Drosophila melanogaster: one gene and its partner. The protein of the gene in region 2 interacts with the protein of the main gene of each other region in a pairwise test. Each region holds a gene or a part of one and is shown on either strand. Other genes may lie near its edges.

Region 1 (7,157 bases), on a different chromosome or scaffold from region 2:
ACTGTCTTGGATTGCCATTGGATCGGGGTTATAAAGGGCCTCCACATTTCCGCGATAACATGCGCCGTGTGGCAACCGCTGCCAAAAACGATTCCATTTGCTGACGTAATGGCCCGTTTTTGTGCCTGGTCCACCTGCAAAAAGTTTCCCCCATGGACGTGCCATCCAATGGCCCAACTTGCACAATTCTCCCCTCCATTGAAGCCCCACCAATATGAATTGTGATAACCGTAAATATAGTTGGCACTACGTGATCGGAATCTAAGATTGGGAGCTTTAACTCGAAGCTCGGGACCTACCCCAATGTTTAACTGGGTTAAGCAGGGGAATGTGGAGCATTCCTAGAAATATTTCAACTTTTCGAATATCACTTCCAACCGATCAGTTCCATCGAACAACTAATAACAATTCATTCAATCTTTTTTTTTGTACCGAAACTTTTATTCAGTAAATGCAGTTACTAATTCACTAAGTGGCCGATAGCCGTTCCCCAGATCCCCAGAACGGTATCCCTAAACGTAGTCTATGGTGGCGATCCTTCGATCGGAGATTGGGAATGTGGGTCAACAGCGGGGTGGCAACAGCACGCACGTCCTTGTGTTTCGGGTTTTGACTGACAGAAAAGTGGGTAAATGCATTAGAACTATTTAACAACGGTCCTACAACTAGGCCATGGAGTTTGTCATCGCTTGGTCCACCGGTTCATCGCCTAGTGGTATCCACCCAGACTCAGACCAGGCGCCGAAGCGTATCCAATCTTGGTGATGGCGGGAACGGCGGCGACGGCAAGAGCTGGCTTGGCAATGGCCACCGCGGCCACGCCCTTCTTCTCCACGACCGCATTGAATCCGTTGACCTTGTCGGCGGTGTAGGTGACCTTGCGAATAGTGCCATCGGGTTCGGCCAGGGAGTAGCTGCCGTGGACGACTCCGTTGACCAGGGTCTCCTCCTGCTGCTTGGAGTCACCGGTGTGATGATCGGTTACTCCGTACGAGAAGCTGTACTGCGGATTGGGATCGTAGGGCTCGGCAACAGCCACCTTGGCCACAGCGACGGGGGCAGCCAGGACCTTGGGAGCATAGGAGATGGCAGGAGCGGCATACGAGATGGCAGGAGCCGCCAGGAGTTTGGGAGCAGCATAGGAAATGGCAGGAGCAGCAAGCAACTTGGGAGCCGCATAGGTGAGTCCAGGGGCCGAAAGTCCATAGGGATCAATGGGAATGGCCACAACGGCGGACAGGATCAGTCCCAAAACGAACAGAGTCTGGCGAGGAATTCCATGATCAGTTGAGCCAACTAAAAGCTGCACTCCTTTGGCCAACTCACCTGGGCAATCATGGCGAAGGATGTGAGAATGAGGGAGCTCTGGTTTGGATGTGTCTGCACTGCGAGAACTCAGCTCAAATGTGAGATGCATTTTCCGCGTGGTCTTCAGTTTTATATTCGAAACTGGCGGCAGCTGCCAGCGGAAAAAAAAACTGGACAATCTAATGGGCAGAGTGACAATTGCGTCTCATTTGGTGGCTGCCCGATCTCGATCTCGATCTTGCACCCCAGACCTCATCGCTGATGGCGGATTTCGTGTTTCTGGTGCGGATTTCATCATTGGTGCTGGCTTTTCTCAATGGAATAACTGCAGCCGCCGCTGCCGAGGCACACCACTCACCGAAGTCCATTTGAGTCCGTTCAAGAGCGCCGCTCCAAGATACCCAGCTAGTCAGCTACCAGCAACACCAGACTCGTTTTCCGCTGACTCGCTGGCCGATCTGGTTTCATTTTTTCGCCGTTTTTTGGCACATTCTCAGGTTCTCCAGCCAAAATTTGTCTGATGTAATAAGTGCCTCATATTGTGGCAGTTTCAGTTGCAGTTGCCACAAGAACAGTGACAGTGCTTTTTTAGCGATTGTAGGTACCCTTTCAAGAAAAATCTTTAATATCATCAAAGACCTAATGAAAATATGTATTTACTCTCAATTTTCTGAAAATGTATGAAACCAAGATTACAATTGGATATGTAAACACTCATTTGGCGAACATACTTCAATCAATATTTGAATATGTAATTGAAATGCCTGCTGTTAAGTTATGCCGATTATCACTCACACGCCATGTTGTCCAAACGCAAGCAAATTTCGCTTGGTTTGCGTGACGTGCGAGTAATCTTCATAGTAACATACATGTCCAATGTGCCCACCCAAAGTGCAGGGTATAAAAACAAGATCAATCGTTCGCAGCCACTCGTTTAATTAGAAAACGAAAATGGCAAGTTTCGACGGCTTGGTGGAGGGAATGGAATTGGGCGGGACGCAGGCGCAATTACGCACTGGCACACGCATTAACCCCTCGACGATCCGATTTCCACCTGACCAACTGGACCAGCGCCCACATTGCTGAGCCCGGTCACTTAGCCACCGTAATTGCCTCGATCGGGCCAAAAAGCATTTAGCCGGCATTTGGAAGCTCTAACCGCGGCGACCTTGCTCACAATTGGCAGCTAAGTGGCTGTGGTTAGTATTTCATCCACTTTTAATTAATTCTCATCTCAGAGCAGAGTCAAGCGATTGGGCAAGGAACTGCATAAATGGCAGTGGAGCATTCCATTCGCTTTGGCCAAATTGGACGACTGTATATCCATGCTGGTTTCCGGTGGCGACAATCTACGCCGACAACCGTTAGTCAGCTACCACAACCCGACGAGTAATACCACCATTTGGTGCCAACTTTTGGGGCTCTCTCCGCTTCTCCGGATCGCTCAGCGTCTCTCCGAGGTGAATCCGCAGCCAACGAGTCGCAAGGTCGTTGGTTGCATTTAGGAAAAGAGTCACGAACTCAAAACCAGCCACCAGTTACAGCACGAAATCGATGGGGAATCTTTAATCAACCATGGAGTTAGGCAAATTCCAAAAGACCAGAGATTCTTGTTGTTACTGAAGATATTTGTTAGGAAAGCATGTTAAATTTAAAATAAGATTTATCCTTTTCAGCAAAGTCGTTTAGGGGAGGAACTAAAAATCTCCTTATGGAAACATAAACCAAATGCATGGCCATTTATTAGAATAATATCAATATAATTGATGTATCAAATGTTGATAATCTTTCAATAGATTTACAATAGTAATATATGGGTATATAGTATATATATTAGTCTAATCGATATTACTGGGCCACATTGACCCAGTTTCACCTTGTTAAGTGAAACCGAACCCCTTGTGAAAACCCTTATTATGTATAAGTGGTAACTCATTAGCATAAGTAATTGATACCCAATAAGGTGTATAAGAAACTTTCCAATTTATTTGAGACAACCAATTCAAGTAGTACATCAAAATCAGGATCATTACACTCTAAAGATACTTTTTTATCCCAGAGATATATTAATATTAAGTTTTTGAGCTTGAACCCTTGTCAACTCGACGTCATTATGGTAACTTAATTATAAGTTTCGCGCTTTTGGTGTAAAGGAAAATTAAAAGCACTGTCATTGGATGGAACCTGCATGACAATTACCGAAAACTACTGCTCCGAAATATAATCAAATCGCATTCACTTTCGATCCGAACAAGGCAAAAACAGTGGCAAATAAAAATGAAAACTTGGTGTAGCCACCGCAAGACGACTGAAAATTGGAGTACGTGCTGCGAATTTGGATCAAAGCCCGAGACGCAGACGCAGCCAAATGCTGGGTAGGAAGAGGCGGCCCCAAAAAGCGGCGATGGTGATGATGCGGGGGGCAAGGAGCTCGGACAATGGGCTACCATACGCAATTGGTACGCAGTTCCCTCCACGGAGCACCGCATGCAAATTTCGCGAACGCATCTGGGTATAAAAGTCGTGGTTTTTTTGTCCAAGGTATGTCAGTTCATTTTCGATAACCGACGGTGACAATCGCACTAAACCCCCACCCAAGCCTTACAATGAATCCTCTGACGGTAAGTGTTGGTGATGGCTTCGGTGAACCCGTCAGGTCAGGAGACTAAACTGGACTCCATGCATTTTCCTCACAGGTTGTTGCAGTCCTTTCCTCGATGGCCCTCTCGGCTCAGGCTGGTCTGGTTGGCGCTCCTCTGGCCGCCGCTCCTCTGGGTGCTCCTCTGGCTTACTCCGCCCCTCTGGGACCTGCTCCATACTTCGCCCCGGCTGCGTACTCCGCCCCTCTGGGCTACGCGGCTCCTTTGGGATACAACGCCCCTCTGGTGGCGGGACCTGCTCCCCTGGTGTCCAAGACCTACGCTGCCGCTCCTTTCGCCGCTCCCTTCGCTGCTCCAGTTGCCCCAGTTGCTGCTCGCCTGGCTGCCCCAGTCGCCGCTCCTCTCGCTGCCCCAGTTGCTCCAGTAGCCGCTCCCCTGGCTGCTCCAGTTGCTGCTCCCCTGGCTGCTCCAGTTGCTGCTCCCATCGCCACCGAGATCGTGGATGCCCACCCACAGTACAAGTTCGCCTACGATGTCCAGGATACGCTAACCGGTGACTCCAAGACCCAGGAGGAGACTCGTGATGGTGATGTCGTCCGTGGATCCTACTCTCTGATCGAGCCCGATGGTTCCCGTCGTATTGTCAGCTACTACGCCGACTCCATCAACGGTTTCAACGCAGTGGTGCAGAAGGATGTGCCCGTGGCTGTTGCCCCAGTGGCTCCAGTTTTGGCCAAGACCGTGGCTGCTCCAGTGGCTCCAGTTGTGGCTGCTGCCCCCGCTCCAGTCTTCGCCAAGACCCTGGCCGCTCCCATCGTCGCCTAAGTAGAAGGAGGAGAAGTAGGAGTCGTAAAGGAAGTATTGACCGCAATTCGACAAAGGACTTTCATCTGTACATATTCGATTAATCATTGTCGAGCTATTGAATAACTTTCATCGCAAAAACCCAAAATTAAAGAAATTCTGAAAACAAAAGATTGTAGTTTATTGTTTAAAGGCATCCTGGATTACGAGAGTGATATCATATAGAGGCTTAAGAAAATTATTTAAGTATTTTAGCTTTAATATTTATAGGTAATATTTATATGTATCATTCTTTATATTTTAAGGATTACACTTAAAACTTGGTGTTCTTTTTAGGGAAGTGGATGAAGAGTTCTGGAAGCTTTCGCAACATGAGAACGTGGCCAGGATGCGTCTGAAATTGGAGCCTCAGTTATATCCAAATAAACACGAGAATGCCGCCAATCTGCGCGACAATGCGACCAGTGCCTACGACACCAAGTAAGCCCAGCCAGTCCTTAGTAGTGTCCTTCATAATCTGATTTTCAATATCCTTTATCTTAGGGAAATCTCTGAATTTGACTCCACCATCAAGAATGCCGTGGTGCGCGATTTCCTGGCGGATGACGAAAGTTCCCAGCTGGAGGAGGAACTACGTCAACTGATCGACACGCAAGCGCAACAGGATGTGGCGCTGGAGAAGCTAGTCATGTCACAGGACTGTGAGCTGATCACGCTGATGACCAAGGTGAAGGGACGCATTGAGGTTAACCAGAGCGTGTTCACCTTTGTGGACTTGAGCCCGCCAACAGAGGATGGTTCCAAATACGATTTCAGGTTCTCCACCAACAAGATACGTGAGGTTCATCTGCGAAAGTACAATCTGCGCAGGAGTGCTTTGGAAATCTTCCTGGTGGATCAGACTAGCTACTTCCTCAACTTTACGACGAAGGTGAGTTTTTTTTTTGTAAATAAAATGTGATCATTGCAAATGTTCTTATTTCTTTAAGACTCGAAATAAAGTTTTCACAAAAATCGTGGGTCTACCGCTTCCAAACATACTCTACGGCTCGGGAAGATCGCCGGCTGAGCTGCTTAGGGCCTCGGGACTCACACAGAGATGGATCAATCGTGAGATTTCCAACTTTGAATACTTGATGTACCTAAACACAATCGCAGGTAAGCAAATAACATCTGATTATTACATACATTTTTATCAAACTAACGTATTTTACATAACTAGGTCGATCCTACAATGATCTAAGCCAATACCCCGTCTTCCCCTGGATCCTTGCTGATTACACCAGTGACGTGCTGGATCTTACCGATCCAAAATCGTTCCGTGACCTATCCAAACCCATTGGATGCGTAAGTATTACTGAAAATAGAAAAAGGTGATCAGTTACATGACAAACGCATTTCTACCGCAGATAAATCCTAAAAACGAGGCCGAAGTGCGCGGCAAATATGATTCATTCGAGGACCCCTCTGGTGCCATACCAAAGTTTCACTACGGAACCCACTACTCCAACTCGGCCGGCGTGCTCCACTATTTGCTTCGCGTCGAACCGTTCACCTCGCTGCACATTGATCTGCAGAGCGGTCGTTTCGATGTGGCCGATCGACAATTCCACTCGATACCTCAGACGTGGAAGTTGCTAATGGACAATCCCAATGACGTGAAGGAGCTGATCCCCGAGTTCTTTTACTTCCCAGAATTCCTTAAGAACATGAATAAGTAATGCATGTGGTTTTTTACTTTTACTTAGTTAGCCTAATGTTATTTTATGTGCAGATTTGATTTGGGCCACTTACAAATAACCAAAGAAAAGGTGGACGATGTCATATTGCCTGCTTGGGCTACCACGCCGGAGGAGTTCATAGCCATACACCGACGGGCTTTGGAATCGGAGTATGTCAGTCAGCATCTGCACCACTGGATTGATCTGATCTTTGGGTATAAGCAAAAGGGACCCAAGGCAGCTGAGGCTCTAAACGTTTTCTATTATTGCTCCTATGAAGGCGCTGTGGATTTGGACAAGATCACCAACCCTGTAGAACGGGAGGCGGTTGAAGGTGGCTTACACCAAGACTTTTTTTTTTGCTATTTTTATTGACATCCATTCATTTATATTAGGAATGATTAATAACTTTGGCCAAGTGCCTTCACAGCTGCTGCGGGAGCCACATCCACGACGCCTTACTCAGGATGAGACGGCTCTAAAGCTGGTACGTGCTGAGCTCCGAAGGCCGGATCTTACTCAGTTCCTGGACAAGGTGGTGCAGTACTACTGCGAGCTGTCCACGCCCAAGGATCCCATTGTGTACCTGAGTCCACCGCGAAGTCCTCCGCGATCGTTCCTGCAGCTGAGTCCCGATGTTCTAGTCAGCATATCGAAGTCCACCATATTGGGCTGCAATTCGTGGCTATCGTTTGATAAGGATCAGGGATTCCTGCTGGAAATC
Region 2 (7,791 bases):
ATGAATCTTTCAAAATATTTACTTCGTGGATGCTTCTCAATGAAGGAAATGCGAATGCTCGTATATCAACTGACTGAATAAACACCAATATGTAAGGGATGCGACAACGTCTGCCGCAGTGTCTGCTACCTGGCCACGTATGGAGATAAGGAACTTGATTGGGAGTGGATGTGGGAGCGGAAGATGGTTCTGTTTGGCTTGTCAACGACTGTTTGTACACCTGACAGACGCGAATTTATGCTCACCATGAAACCGCCGCAGTTTTTCTCGTTGTCGCGTGGCACTACCAATCCTCCGTAGATCCAGTCAATGATGTCCTGCCTCAGTTGTGGCGGCACCAGATGCAATGAGTTTAGCACATCCAGGCCGCAGACGGCGAAGAACACAATGGTGCTCCTGATGGACAAGGAAATGGTTAACCAAAAGTTAAATACGAGGCCAGGATGCACTTACCTGGTGTTATCGTGCGAGGCCATGCGAGCTGGCAGGAGATTAAGGAATCGGAGCAGATTCTTGGCGTGCTTGGAGAGCAGCACGGGCTCCGTATCAGTGCGGTCTTCCATATCTATGTGGTGGGACATATTGCTTGTTAAATGAGGAACTTATGGGTGGGTAGGAACTGGATTGTCTCGGTGTGCGCTGAGATATGGATATGACTAAGCGTTGAAAGGCCCTTCCCAAACGGTTGGACTGAGCTGGCCGGAATAGACGCTCTCCGGTTGCGATTCCGTCTTCCAATGATGTTGCGCCCGCACGTGCCCACATTTATATGGTCTAGCACTTACCTTTTGTTTATATAAAGCCGGTTTGCATTGCAATTTAGGGCTACGGCGAACGATATAAAACACCAAGAGTAGTCCACAAATAGCAGCTGCTTCTTCTTACCTCTTCTTGCCAGTCACAGCGAACCACGTTTACACGGGGAAATAATTGCTAGTTCTTAAATTTCTATATCATAATGTTTAACAATATATAAGCTAAGATATTTTCTTAAACCTCGAAAATAATTAATTTAAATATTTTACAAGCCTACATCAAGTGTTCATAATCTTTAGAGTCGCATAAACATTAAATATAAATAAAATTGTTGGGCCTTCCTGTGAATGGCTATTCTTCAGTTCTCAACAGCTGATTGCAAGCCGCATTTAATTTACTAGTTCTTATTATTAATAATTGAATTAACCTTTCAAAATGCGTTTAACGCAATATTTGGCCAGCAAGTTGAAGAACTTTTCCAATCTGCCCAAGGAATACATCGAGCGCAGCAAAAAACAGGTAACAGGAAGAGTCTTTTTCATTGAACAACTTGTGAACAGCGGCTCACGTAACACATCGCATGGAAAATGTTTCACATTTATTAAAATATTTTTTTTCATCTCAACACAGGTGTACTGGCAAACTCCGAAGGAGATTAATTACCTACCGCGTACCGTGGAGCGAAAGAGATTCCGCTACACCACAAATCGTTCATGGACGGGTCAGTTCCGCCAGCAAAATATGCCCGGAACCGTGCGTCGCAAGGTGCTAGTGGAACCAATTGGTAAGGAATAAGAAGCCTTGACCTCTAAAACCTAATAAAACATGGTTGTATATCCTTTTCAGAGGACTGGAGCTTTTTCCGCGGCGATCGTATCGAAGTCCTTGTGGGTAAAGACAAAGGAAAGCAGGGAATTGTCACCCAGGTTATACCCGAGCGCAATTGGGTAATTGTAGAGGGCCTGAACTGGCACTATCGCAAGGTTGGCGGTGAGAAGGAGTTTCCCGGTATCATTATCAAGTCCGAGGCACCTTTGCACGTCACCAAGGACATTCGTCTGGTTGACCCATCGGATCTTCAGGGCACCGACTTTGAGTGGCGTTTCACGGAGGAGGGCGAGAAAGTGCGGGTGTCCTTGCGATCTGGCCGAATCATACCCATCCCGGAGACGAACAACCAGACGCACGATTATAAAACACCAAACGCCTATATCGAAAGGGAGAAGGATACGCCAGGTATGGGCTATTATCGCATTTCAATATGTTCCTAGTCATACAAGTCTGTCCTTTTCAGGCGCTGTTGTGGGCGAGATCACCTTTCAGCCCAAGTTGTCCACATTCGAGATGGACATTATGGAGGAAATGGGCATCAAAGAGGAACGCACGCCAGTCAAGAGCTATTGGTACTAATGTTATGCCTACTGTTTATTAAAGTAATGTACAAAATACCCATATAATTGAGCAATAAGTTTAATGTCACTTGCGCACCGTGTTGAAGACCTCCTCGCGATGATCCCGGAGCGTCTTGGCCAGCCCGCATACAGTTTCCTCCGCCCTGTCGTAGTCTGGGCGCAGCGTGCTGTTAAAGGTTTCGTAGAGCCACGTGCAGGTTTTGGACATGTTTGATTCGTAACTGGTGAAGACCCGACTGGTGTGCTCGTACCTAAAAGGGATTCGTTTCCCTTTGTAGAAGATTCTAGAGAAATCTATATATTAACTTACCGCGCTTTGTTTGCTATATCCGTGATTAGGTAGGTGTTGCAGTGCTTGACGGCTAGGACTTGCCGATGACTCATGTACTTGAGTTCCACGTGCGGCAGAGCCAGCTGAGCCGCCTCTAGGGATATCGTGGAGGCGTGTAACAGACTTCGACAGTCCAACGCCCACTGAAGCTTTTGCTTGGGATCTCTGAACGAGAAATAACATGTCAACAAGTTCTAAGTGGGGAATTAATTTACCCACATTATCCGTCCAAGCTGTCGCCATTGTTTTAATGCCTGCGTCGAGGAATTCGCGGCTGCTCTAAGTAGTAATCCACAGATGCGCCACTGCTCCAGTGCGCTGCCCAGCTTATCCCTTGTATCTCTTGCCGTCTCAAGCTGCTCATCAATGCTCTCCTCCAGCCGAGTCATGTACGTTCCCCCGCTTATATACGCTATAATCCCGTCTTGCTTTACGTACAGCTCGTTCAGCTCTGCATAGCTCTCGGCCAGAGTCTTTAGACGCACCTTAGTGTGTTCCAACATCTCGCCGTAGTAACGAATGCTAAGCAAATACATGGCGGACTCGCTCAGGTTGGCGAAGAAATCCTCGTGCATGGAAGCCTTGCGGGCATCGCCAATTACGCCCAGGTTGTAGGCAAGCTAAAGTCGAATGGTAATAATATACTTGAGGGAAGTTCATCACATTCACTAATGGCAGGCCATTTACCTGGGCCAGGTCCTTGGTGGGCGTGTTGGCCACAATTGGGTCGCCCTGCCGCCCCCCCATTGTGTAAGCTGGAATGGGCAGGGCCTCCTCGGTTTCCCATTCCCTCTCGCGCAAAGGAGACACTCCCATGCCATCGAGTCCCAGCATCGCCTCGTGCTTGCTCTGAATGTGCTCCACCCAGGCCTCGGCGGTGGCCATTCGAGGACCAGGACATGTGCCCTCCAGCTTGCTGATCTGCTCGTCCAGGCGCACATATTGCTCGACCACATTCTGATGACGAAATGGAAGAGGTATTGATTATGGCAAAGGTAAGACGACTTGTTCAAGTGCTATTACTCCAGAGGCGCCATTCTGGCGAGGTTGCATTTCCGAGCTGACCTCCGTGACGACAGGATTCGTCTGCGTATCCATGGAGGAGCCACAGCCCATCACTCAGGTTGTCTGTCCGAAGTGCTGCACGAAGTTCGCCCGCTCTGCCGGCGATGACATCTTCCGTCTTAGACCTTTCCAGTTCGCCTGTCCAGCGCTGAATGAGCTTTCGTTGGGTCCGTCATGTCCACTTATGAGGGAAAACACAATAACAAAAATTATTTTTGCGCGCTAGCCATTGGACAGGGCCACACCAAATCCACCCACAAACCATTTCGGGAGGTGGGGACAGGGGCCAGCGTAGCCCCCTTGTTACCACGTATGTGTCCTTTAGAGCGGACCACTCTTCATGAAAATTGCGCATACGACATGTGCAACCATTACTATCTTTAAGTTTAAGTTATATTGATTAAAATACATGTTTCCTTAATTAAAATGCTACAATACATATGACGAGTAATACTTTTGTTCAATAGATTTTTGAAGGTTCACCCCAATAGCCCGCTGTTTGTCAACAATGTGTTATTTGCTTTGCTAGCTTTTTTGTTGGCATGTCCACTATACCTTGTTGGATTTGTGAATTGGCACACGGTGTATTTGTATTAACAAGTTAACAAAAACAACAAAGAAGGGAGCCATTAACATCTGCTTATTGTGTAGGAAATGTGCAAGCTCAGCTGAACGAAGGACGAACTCTAGTAGTCCTATAACTGGGGTACTAATCGACCCGAAACATAATCCATCAGCAGGATTATAATCTAGATTTTGATAAATTACCAGCAAATTAGAGGCTCTGCTCTGGAGTGTTTATAGCTTATTAGGATTGTAGTATGCCCTACAGAGAGAGTAAATTTGGTTATATATTTATTACTATTGGAAAAATTTAGGGACATATCTTCTTGAAGTTTTTAATAGCTTGTGCACGGATTACGATGTTAGCTATAAGTTTATGGCTGTACACATTATCATATGCTAGAACTCGTTAAGTTTTCCTGTTTCTCTCCCCATCCTAACTTCAATCCACGTTTGTCCTTAACCAGCTAATGTGCTAACCTAATTCGAAGAGCAGTGAGTTCTCCAATCCCTTGGCAATTGGTCATTAAACTTGTCCGAATGTGTGCTCCAAACATATAGTGCGACCATATGTCGCATGAGCAATGCAGTGCAACCAAACGCAAAGGCGTCGGAAAATAATGGGTCAAATGATTGCGTTTAAATAAGTAATAATGTAGTCAAGTGTCGATTAGAGTGCTGAAGTCCGAATGCAAACTTGTTGATGAATGGCGCCCAAGCTTTCTGAGCTTCTCAGGGACGAAAGTGTTAAGCAAAACATGGGAATCCAAAAACCATATAGGCGCATGCGCCATTGTGACATCCATAATCCTTCCTCCCACTTCTGAAGGATAGACTTGCCATTCAATATCATCAAACCTACATCCATACCATACCCGTTCGATATTTTTAACCATCAAAACTTTGTTTTAAGTTATTTTTTTAAATAGACAACATTTTAATAAAACAATTACGTGATTCTTTTTTAAAGGATTATGTTCGTGTGCACAAGCACCTTCTGATGAGATCTTCTTGATATTTTACTCCCTTCAGTAGGTTTTCGCATATGTTTTCACAGTCGCCAGGTTGAACTACTGGTGGTTTTGGCCAAGACCACGGCCACTGAGGTGATGGCAACGGCGGTGGTAATTGCTGGGGATAACCTGGTAATTGTGGCCACTGATTTGGATATCCGGGCATCTGTGGCCATTGAGGAACGACTGGGTTAGGTTGCCAGGGCCACACGGGATTGGGGTAGGTCGGGTTCGGATACCACCATGACCAAGGAGGAATCTGGTAAGGAGGCTGGGGATGGCAAGGGCAAGGACGACGGGTTGTTGTTGTTCTTGTAGGACTTGCAGATGGTGTTGTAGTTGGACAAGGTGTTGTTGTGGATCTAGGAGTAGTTGTCGTTGGGCGACTTGTGGTAGTTGTTGTTGTGGATCTAGGAGTAGTTGTGGTTGGGCGACTTGTGCAAGGTGTTGTTGTGGATCTAGGAGTAGTTGTCGTTGGGCGACTTGTGGTAGTTGTTGTTGTGGATCTAGGAGTAGTTGTCGTTGGGCGACTTGTGGTAGTTGTTGTTGTGGATCTAGGAGTAGTTGTCGTTGGGGCACAAGTGGAAGTTTTTGTTGTGGATCTAGGAGTAGTTGTCGTTGGGCGACTTGTGGAAGTAGTTGTTGTGGATCTAGGAGTAGTTGTGGTTGGGCGACTTGTGGAAGGTGTTGTTGTGGATCTAGGAGTAGTCGTCGTTGGGCGACTTGTGGTAGTTGTTGTTGTGGATCTAGGAGTAGTTGTCGTTGGGCGACTTGTGGAAGTTGTTGTTGTGGATCTAGGAGTAGTTGTCGTTGGGGCACAAGTGGAGGTTTTTGTTGTGGATCTAGGAGTAGTTGTCGTTGGGCCACTTGTGCAAGTTGTTGTTGTGGATCTAGGAGTAGTTGTCGTTGGGCAACTTGTGCAAGTTGTTGTTGTGGATCTAGGAGTAGTTGTCGTTGGGCAACTTGTGCAAGTTGTTGTTGTGGATCTAGGAGTAGTTGTCGTTGGGCCACTTGTGCAAGTTGTTGTTGTGGATCTAGGAGTAGTTGTCGTTGGGCAACTTGTGGAAGTTGTTGTTGTGGATCTAGGAGTAGTTGTCGTTGGGCCACTTGTGGAAGTTGTTGTTGTGGATCTAGGAGTAGTTGTCGTTGGGCCACTTGTGGAAGTTGTTGTTGTGGATCTAGGAGTAGTTGTCGTTGGGCCACTTGTGGAAGTTGTTGTTGTGGATCTAGGAGTAGTTGTCGTTGGGCCACTTGTGGAAGTTGTTGTTGTGGATCTAGGAGTAGTTGTCGTTGGGCCACTTGTGGAAGTTGTTGTTGTGGATCTAGGAGTAGTTGTCGTTGGGCCACTTGTGGAAGTTGTTGTTGTGGATCTAGGAGTAGTTGTCGTTGGGCCACTTGTGGAAGTTGTTGTTGTGGATCTAGGAGTAGTTGTCGTTGGGCCACTTGTGGAAGTTGTTGTTGTGGATCTAGGAGTAGTTGTCGTTGGGCCACTTGTGGAAGTTGTTGTTGTGGATCTAGGAGTAGTTGTCGTTGGGCCACTTGTGGAAGTTGTTGTTGTGGATCTAGGAGTAGTTGTCGTTGGGCCACTTGTGGAAGTTGTTGTTGTGGATCTAGGAGTAGTTGTCGTTGGGCCACTTGTGGAAGTTGTTGTTGTGGATCTAGGAGTAGTTGTCGTTGGGCCACTTGTGGAAGTTGTTGTTGTGGATCTAGGAGTAGTTGTCGTTGGGCCACTTGTGGAAGTTGTTGTTGTGGATCTAGGAGTAGTTGTCGTTGGGCCACTTGTGGAAGTTGTTGTTGTGGATCTAGGAGTAGTTGTCGTTGGGCCACTTGTGGAAGTTGTTGTTGTGGATCTAGGAGTAGTTGTCGTTGGGCCACTTGTGGAAGTTGTTGTTGTGGATCTAGGAGTAGTTGTCGTTGGGCCACTTGTGGAAGTTGTTGTTGTGGATCTAGGAGTAGTTGTCGTTGGGCCACTTGTGGAAGTTGTTGTTGTGGATCTAGGAGTAGTTGTCGTTGGGCCACTTGTGGAAGTTGTTGTTGTGGATCTAGGAGTAGTTGTCGTTGGGCGACTTGTGGTAGTTGTTGTTGTGGATCTAGGAGTAGTTGTCGTTGGGCGACTTGTGGAAGTTGTTGTTGTGGATCTAGGAGTAGTTGTCGTTGGGGAACAAGTGCAAGTTGTTGTTGTGGATCTAGGAGTAGTTGTCGTTGGGCGACTTGTGGAAGGTGTTGTTGTGGATCTAGGAGTAGTTGTCGTTGGGGAACAAGTGCAAGTTGTTGTTGTGGATCTAGGAGTAGTTGTCGTTGGGCCACTTGTGGTAGTTGTTGTTGTGGATCTAGGAGTAGTTGTCGTTGGGCCACTTGTGGAAGTTGTTGTTGTGGATCTAGGAGTAGTTGTCGTTGGGCGACTTGTGGAAGTTGTTGTTGTGGATCTAGGAGTAGTTGTCGTTGGGGAACAAGTGCACGTTGTTGTTGTGGATCTAGGAGTAGTTGTCGTTGGGCGACTTGTGGTAGTTGTTGTTGTGGATCTAGGAGTAGTTGTCGTTGGGCGACTTGTGGAAGTTGTTGTTGTGGATCTAGGAGTAGTTGTCGTTGGGCGACGTGTGGTAGTTGTTGTTGTGGATCTAGGAGTAGTTGTCGTTGGGCGACTTGTGGA

The links. Proteins that work in one complex are often made in the same cells at the same time.
Region 1: the proteins of synr (region 2) and Cpr64Ad interact in a two-hybrid assay, tested with the Drosophila melanogaster proteins (one large-scale study listed by BioGRID).

Annotation. Positions count from the first base shown.
Region 1 is NT_037436.4:4,211,536-4,218,692, forward strand, and holds Cpr64Ad (cuticular protein 64Ad), read left to right. Parts: upstream 1-3,843; 5' UTR 3,844-3,914; coding exon 3,915-3,929; intron 3,930-4,004; coding exon 4,005-4,733; 3' UTR 4,734-4,879; downstream 4,880-7,157. Other genes in the region: CG43367 (uncharacterized protein), read left to right, coding at 5,049-5,192, 5,256-5,643, 5,702-5,870, 5,935-6,059, 6,122-6,429, 6,487-6,767, 6,829-7,157; Cpr64Ac (cuticular protein 64Ac), read right to left, coding at 710-1,264, 1,327-1,338.
Region 2 is NT_033779.5:4,938,676-4,946,466, reverse strand, and holds synr (sayonara), read right to left. Parts: upstream 3,726-7,791; 5' UTR 3,616-3,725; coding exon 3,523-3,615; intron 3,457-3,522; coding exon 3,187-3,456; intron 3,120-3,186; coding exon 2,719-3,119; intron 2,665-2,718; coding exon 2,479-2,664; intron 2,420-2,478; coding exon 2,233-2,419; 3' UTR 2,167-2,232; downstream 1-2,166. Other genes in the region: betaggt-I (beta subunit of type I geranylgeranyl transferase), read right to left, coding at 246-396, 454-563; mRpL24 (mitochondrial ribosomal protein L24), read left to right, coding at 1,192-1,275, 1,387-1,540, 1,603-1,992, 2,051-2,166; Sgs1 (salivary gland secretion 1), read right to left, coding at 5,101-7,791.